2 linked regions of the Nothobranchius furzeri genome follow. The protein of the gene in region 1 purifies or fractionates together with the protein of each later gene. This does not show direct contact. Links are inferred from orthologs where the notes say so. Each region holds a gene or a part of one and is shown in the gene's direction. Other genes may lie near its edges.

Region 1 (3,758 bases):
CTGCAGAGCATTGAGAAATATGACCCAGAGCTAGACTCATGGGAGATTGTGGGGACTCTTCCCAGCCCGGTCAGATCACATGGATGTGTCTGTGTTCGTGGGGTCCAGTGACATTTATCACAGGTGTTTATATATATATATATATATATATATATATATATATATATATATATATATATATATATATATATATATATATATATATATATATATATATATATATATATATATATATATGTATATATTGTATATATATGTATGTATATATATATATAATTTCACAGTATTCACTACTTTGCAAAGGTTTATGCACAAACCATGTCAAGTTTTCATTGTGGAAGTTTTTTGTAACAACATGGTTATCCAGTGTTTCACTTAATCCTCAGGTATCTCTTGAGAAGTATGAAATAAAGCACAACTGTTTCATAAATCTTTTAAAAGCATTTTTATTTGAAAAGTCACTGGTCAGTAACACATAAAATAAATCACAACACTGATAATGGGATGTTTGCTTTCCAAAAAATACTTTTAAAGTCACTTGTATTTCTATAACTCTTCAAATGTATTGATATGTGAGTATTTGGGATCTTAAATTTTTCTAATAAGTTTGTAAAAATAAGTTTATGTGAATGAACTTCCAGCAACAAAGCATTTACAGCTGCTTTACAAGAAGATGCACAAGATGGTTTGTGAGTGTAAAAATAGTAATCATTGCAGCTTTTGTTTTGAACTACAAGAATATTTTAGAGGGGAGTAATATAAAAAGCTGGTTGTTTCTACAAAACAATTTGTGAGACAAAAACATCTTAATAGAAAACATAAATCTCTGTGATCAAGTGAAGATTTATTTTCTTGCTTGAAAACGAACATAAGTTTAAATTTTTGAATAAAATAAAATAAAATAAAATAAAATAAAATAAAAAGTGAAGAAAATCTACATTTGTGTTGGAATGTTGCATTGCAGCGACAGCTGCTGGGCACAAGCTGCACGACACAGATTGCGACGCACGAATCGAACTGCCGTAAAACTGCGACCTCCTCGACACTTTTTGGCCCTCGATGGTTTCCGTAGCACGCAGTCCTACAACGTGCCAGCACGAAAGGCAAGCTTTTGCGGTTTCAAGTTCCGAAAGTGCAGTTTGATCACAACTGTGATAACGTAAGTAAAACATTTGAGTTAGTACAATGTTTTATGGCGTTTTTCATTTAACTTGGAATACGTTGTTGTAGATTAACAGTACGTTTGAGCAGCACGCTACTGTTTGAACGCAACCACATGACGACGTTAACATTACAGACCCAATGTGTGTCCCCAAAATGTGCATTACGGTGACAAAACACGTTTTGTTTGTTTATTACAATACGGGTCATGATTCTGGGTGGTTCTGCTTCTAAATTAATATATAAACCGTAGCCGGTTTGCAACTCCTGAGACAAGCTAGCAGGTTTAGCTGACGCATGGTAACTGAAATGTAACTAGATGTGAGACAGCTGCGTGACACAAATTAATAAATTAGATTTATATTAGCTTCCAGGAGTTTTCTTAAAACGAATATTATCTGTACATTTATGGTAATTTGTAAATTCCGTTAGATTCATTGTAGAAATAGGTAGGCAGTGGCTTTTATTCACTGTTTCTGAATCAGGAATAGTTTATATAAACATGTATTAAGCCCTAGGGGACCCCATGATGTTAGTTCCTTAACAGGGCCAAAAACCCCTCGCACTACAGAAGAAATAGTAATAATTGCCATCAAATTAATCAGCAAACCCAGCACTACATGGCTATCTAAACTATTTTTACCATTAAATACCATTTTTACCATTTTTCGAAGAATAGTCTTCAAAATAGACCTAGGCCTTAAGGGGTTAATGTATCGCAGAGGCAACAGTCTACACCATTTAGTTTTTAAACATTTAAATGTCTAATGAAACAATTGAGAGGCTTGCATGCCAGATATATGATTATACAAACCATACCAGTTTATGTGATGAAAACAATGAGTGGTTATAAATAAAACATGGATTTTTTAAATAGGTCAAATTGCAATTCATCTAAATTTGTCTCCCAGTATTTCAAATTAATAAATTTAATGATCAGCGTTCGTACCATGGTACCTCTGAAAACTGGGACACATGCCCACATGTAAGAAATTTATTTTTAGAGTTTGCTAATTATTTGCAATTTCATTTCCTACAGAAAACAATCATGGCAGAAAACCAAGATCAAATGACCCCCATTGAGATGAAAGTGGCACGCCAACTGGAGGTAATTGCTATCAAACTTCTGTCATCGGCTCTCTGCTGGATCTGTAATCTTCACTTAACATCTGTGAAGCGTAGTTTGCCATTACAGTCAGTGGGTGTGTTTCAGCTGGCTGTGAAGCTTTTGGACATGTTGGACAGAAGTGTATTTTCGCGTCACTCTGCCATTTGCTGCTTTCCACCAGATGTGTAAGCAGCACATAATGTAATAGACACGTTTTCCTCGCGAGCTCAGCAGCTTGTCTCTGACCACTGGAAGTGTTTCAGATTTTTTATTTTATGCGTTCCAAGCTGCCCGTCTTGCAAGGTCACAAAATTGCCACAGAATTGCAAGATCAAGCATGATTTCGGCAGTTCATGTGACAAGCAGAGAGACAGCAGCATGTGTACTAAAGGGCCTCGTTTATTTTCTTTGTGTTGTACCTCAGCTATGGAGACTTTATATGTAATATGCATTTATTTATTTACTTATTTATTTACTTACTTTCTTACTTACTTACTAGTTAAGCAACTGCAAATCTGCACATGTTCTATTTTGAAAGTTGACGGATGTTTAAGTTTACATTTGACTTCCTGTCCGTTACAATCTGAACTGCTGGGCTTGGTGCGTCCTGGAAGTGTAGTGCATGAGAAAAAAAAACTCAATGTAAAGTTAGTGGAGCGATGTGATACTACGCTTCTTGGACACTTCCAAAACGCACCGCTTAGCATCAGGTGGGAACACACCCGATTAGGGTTGGGCGACGGGACGAATTAATTGACCGTCAGCGACGGGCTGAGTCGTTACGATTGTTTTTTTTTTTTTTACAAGAGGCGATATGTTCATTTATTTATTTGCCCATGATGACGTTTGTTAATGACAGATATTTTACACGTTACACACAGAGAACACCGCGGAGGTAACAATCATGACGAGATGTCCATCAGCGCATCTGAGCATCATCTCTCTCTTTCTCCGCCTCTTTAACTGCTGACGCGGAAGAGGAGCTCGGAGAGCGTCTGCGACACACTTGACAATGTGAACAAGAGAGCAATGTCAAGTAGAAACCCTTCTATCTTTCTCAGAGAGTCTGGAAGACTTCTGGTTATTTCATTTGGAGACATTTTTCCCGATTTTAAAACTTTGGGCGAGTGGCACTCGTTATTCTGCCCCTGCTTCGAGTGTGTTAGTGGAGTGCAGATTCATCCAGAACAACGTTTAAACATCCATAAGTCTGAGGCAAAAGCCCAGAACCTCATAACCTCTCCAGCGAATTCCGTAGAGACATTTGAGTACGCACAAGCTGCAGGTGACCAGCTCAGGTTTACGCAGAGCAGAGGAAGAGTGCGTTCAGGCTGCAGCAGATGAATTGTTCCTAATTTAAGTGGAATTGTTAAATTGCATTGTTTATGTTACTGGGACACTTTGTTCAGCTTGTTTGAACTAAATATTAATTAAAATGAATGGAAATGTAATGGTACTGAATAATTATTATTATTTAAAATAAACAAAA
Region 2 (3,758 bases), on another chromosome or scaffold:
TAAGAGACCTGCTGCTGCTTCAGCAGGCAGAGTCCTTTTTTATGCACCAGAAAGTTTTTGACATTAATAACCTTTATTATTATTATTTCGTGGATATGATTGCTTCTAGTTTTATTATTTTTTTACCTTCAAGTTACCCACATATCATCATTTCGGGGTTTTCTTCCCAACATCACCCAAATATCCTGACTTTAGGGTTTTTCACCCCAACATCACCCAAATGTCATTATTTTAAGGCGTTCACCCGACATCACTCAAATATCATTATTTCAAGGCGTTCACCCTGTGTAAGCTATTCTTCTTGATGCTGAAGAAATAAATAACCTGTTCCTCCAGTGTGTGTAGCTCTTCAGGTGGTGCATCCTCGCCTTCTTGATCTCTTGCTGTAGCTCTTGCATAACTGCGATGCTTGGTTTCCAGCCCAGTGATAAGTGGCTCGAGCATTTTGTTCCAACTCATCAATTCTTTGATCAAATCAAAACAACTTTATTTATATAGCACTTTTCATACAAAAAAATGCAACTCAAAGTGCTTCACAGATTAAAATGGCCCCATAGATCCCATATTCCCATCCCAGCCCCCCTCCCCAAGTATTAAACAATTGACAATTACACTTCCCCTCCCGCAACCAATTTCCAAGGTGAACGTACACTCACCCACACACTCACACACACACACACACACACACACACACACACACGTGAGCAACAGGGTAAACAGTAGGCTGAGTTCAGATGGGTCAGGTAATGGACGACACATCATCAGTGGAGCCATCTGCCTCGACAGCAACAGATCCACGGCAGCAGCCAAGGCACCGGCCCATGATGCCCAGGGAGCGAGGGCGGAGACCCCACCACTGCCCGGGCACTACCCGAGGAGCGCCCTGGCTGCCGCCACCGACCACCGACCACCGACCACCGGCCCCAAGGCAGAGGGCTCCGCAGAGGAAACACTGGAGGATTAAAACGTATAACTGTAAAATAAAAAAGCTAATATGGATAGAAAGTAATTGATAAAAAGTGATTACAAAGGTAGTAAAAAACCATAATCATGTAAAAACACTATGATGTAAATAAAAGAATAAAATTAAGTAAAAGATATATATATATATATATATATATATATATATATATATATATATATATATATATATATATATATATATATATATATATATACTGTATAAATAAACAAATATGACAAGTGATACAGTTAAACAGACTAGATAATTAGTAATCAGTGAAAAGCTAAGCTAAAAAGGTGGGTCTTATTCAAAAATAAAAAGTTCCAATATATATATATATATATATATATATATATATATATATATATATATATATATATATATATATACAGTTCTTTTTAGACTTTCTTCTCCCCGTACATACACAGTAACTGAGACGTGCGTTCAGCATGGCCTTCAGACTTCTCCGTCACCTGGGAGCGTTGCAAAGCAATACCCCGCCAGGCCAACAGAGGGCGTGTCGCTTTTCTGGCGTATCCGTTCCATTTACTCAGTTACGGTCAGAGGGGAGGAGGCCTGAAGCTCAAAACACAGAAACCGTAACTGTTTATGTTGCTGTAAGTGCGTGTTTATCCGGTTTTAACAGCATGTTTTGTGACTTTGTGTTTTTTGATGAACCAGCTATTTTTTTCTTCAGGGTAAGTTAGTTGCATCTTACCGACTAGCTCCGGGAGTCCGGTGTTCTCACTATCCGTGCTTCCTCGTCGAATTTTCTTACCGCAGCGTGTTTCAACAGCTGATTCAGTATGTCCAGGGTTACTGAAAATCGGTAGCTACTGTTAATTTATTCTGTAAAAAAAGTGGATAGTGTAAGAAGCAGTTTAGTCATTTCGTAAAAATTAACCCCTTAGTTGCTAAAAACATTTGAATATTCTCAGAACAATGACGATTTACCAACTACTTTCACCCATGTCGAGAAAGTGATTCATAAAAATGGAGATTTGTAAGACGTTAGCTCTAACCGTTCTATTTCTCTATCTAATCCTTTATTAGACAAATGAATCCACATAGAACAAATATGCTCTTCCCCCAATACTTATAGTTGTTTGGATGTATAATTTTGGAGATTATTATACAACTATGATAAATTGTTATATGTATAACATAAAACTTTTGGATATTAATGTGGGACTCTTTCAGAATGACTGTAAACAATGGGAGAAGTGTCTTGTTTACAGTATAATAACGATATTTTAGAAGCCATTTACAAGCTAACTGTCAGGTAAACATACAGCAAGCAGTAATTTAATAAAACAACTCAAAGAAATACGTACTGTGACCTTCGACGAGTTGAAAGTAACTAGATAAGTGACGAGATTAAACGTAAACTTCCACAGGTAGCGCGTCTCTATTTGTAAACAGCCTGTGACGCAATAATCGGCCTGCGCATGCGCATTTCCCCAAAGTAGCACACCGACGGGGAGCACGGATAGTCGGAACACCGGCTCTGATTTATGCCTTCCTAGTTAGGTGCCAAGGAGAATGGAAGTATGCTACCGACAAGTTCGTAGTCGATTACCAATAAACACCAAATAGTCAGTAAAGGATTTAGTGTTTCACATGAGATTTGTTTAAAATCTTCAGTAGTTCCCTAACTTAGTCTCCTGCTAGTTTAACTAGTCTAGTTAGACCTGTCCTGGTAACGTTAGCCCAGTTTCACTTGCTAGTTAGCAGAACAGATTAGGCTGTCGCTGCTTGAGTTCGGTAAAGACCTCCAGCATGTCCTGTGGTTTGTGCATCATCAAGTGTTTCTAACCGGCTTTAATCTATTTGTGTCTGCTTGAGGTGGCGGCCAGGTCGGACTGGGCTGGTGCCGTCCGTAACCTCCTCTGGGCCAGCGTCTGGCCTTCACAAAGCTGCTAACAACCTTTCTTCTCTGTTCCATCACCTGGTAGCACTTGGCTCGACGTCACTGGAGATCAGGATCCAGACTGCAGCTGTGTAGTCACTCATCGTGACACGTTAGCGGTAAAGGATCTGGTTCTGTGAGACTACACTGATTCTGGTTTTTGTACAGCTCTGACCTAGCCTGGCAAGCCATCCTTTATATGTGAATACATCCTGCAAAGCAAAACCATTTTTGCTTCGGATGAGGACTTTCAAGGGTTAGGCTGACTCTAGACTTGCTGATACAGGTTCTGGTTTATTCTGATTTTTCTCAAACAACCATAAAAAACAGTCTTTCGTGTTGAATCGCCAACTGATCAATCAATCAAACTTTATTTCAGACAAGAGATATGTCCATAACAAGAATAAAAAAATAAAAATAAAATACAAACACATTCTAATTAGAAACCGTATAGGCAGTTGCTCCAATGTTTAAAAAGGACTGAGGAGTACCTCGTGTCACTGTAAGATAAAGATTACTAGAGGTGCTGAAAAAAATCGATTCAAGTCTGAATCGGGATTCTTATTTATAAAGATTCAGAATCGATTCCAAGAACTCAAATATTTGGCATGTTACAGGTTTGAGATGCACCTTTTTGATCTTAGGAGAGTCAGTACTCCAATTACTTTTGTGGTCCCATAAATTGAGATGATTTATGATTGAATCTGCTGATAAGAGGGCACTTGAATGTCATTTTTTCCATTCTCATAAATTTGAGATGTTCTCATATTTATTTTCTAAGTTGATAAATGAGTACTCAGGATTACTCGTGTAACTTGTTTCTACACATACTTGAAAAGTATTTGACCATGTTACTTTCAAAGCTACTGTTAATAACTACAGATT

Evidence for each region. Proteins that work in one complex are often made in the same cells at the same time.
Region 2: the proteins of ssb (region 1) and ro60 purify together in Homo sapiens (affinity purification with mass spectrometry; 3 studies listed by BioGRID and IntAct, with this or other methods). This does not show direct contact. The link is inferred for Nothobranchius furzeri from reciprocal best matches to the Homo sapiens genes SSB and RO60.

The regions. Positions count from the first base shown.
Region 1 is NC_091754.1:20,313,223-20,316,980, forward strand, and holds the start of ssb (lupus La protein), read left to right. Parts: upstream 1-1,041; 5' UTR 1,042-1,159; intron 1,160-2,200; 5' UTR 2,201-2,209; coding exon 2,210-2,269; intron 2,270-3,758. Other genes in the region: klhl23 (kelch-like protein 23), read left to right, coding at 1-111. UniProt on the Homo sapiens protein: Binds to the 3' poly(U) terminus of nascent RNA polymerase III transcripts, protecting them from exonuclease digestion and facilitating their folding and maturation.
Region 2 is NC_091751.1:69,173,803-69,177,560, forward strand, and holds the start of ro60 (RNA-binding protein RO60), read left to right. Parts: upstream 1-1,486; 5' UTR 1,487-1,581; exon of another isoform or gene 1,582-1,662; intron 1,663-1,682; exon of another isoform or gene 1,683-1,813; intron 1,814-2,298; exon of another isoform or gene 2,299-2,401; intron 2,402-2,493; exon of another isoform or gene 2,494-2,512; intron 2,513-2,822; exon of another isoform or gene 2,823-2,919; 5' UTR 2,920-2,992; intron 2,993-3,758. UniProt on the Homo sapiens protein: RNA-binding protein that binds to misfolded non-coding RNAs, pre-5S rRNA, and several small cytoplasmic RNA molecules known as Y RNAs.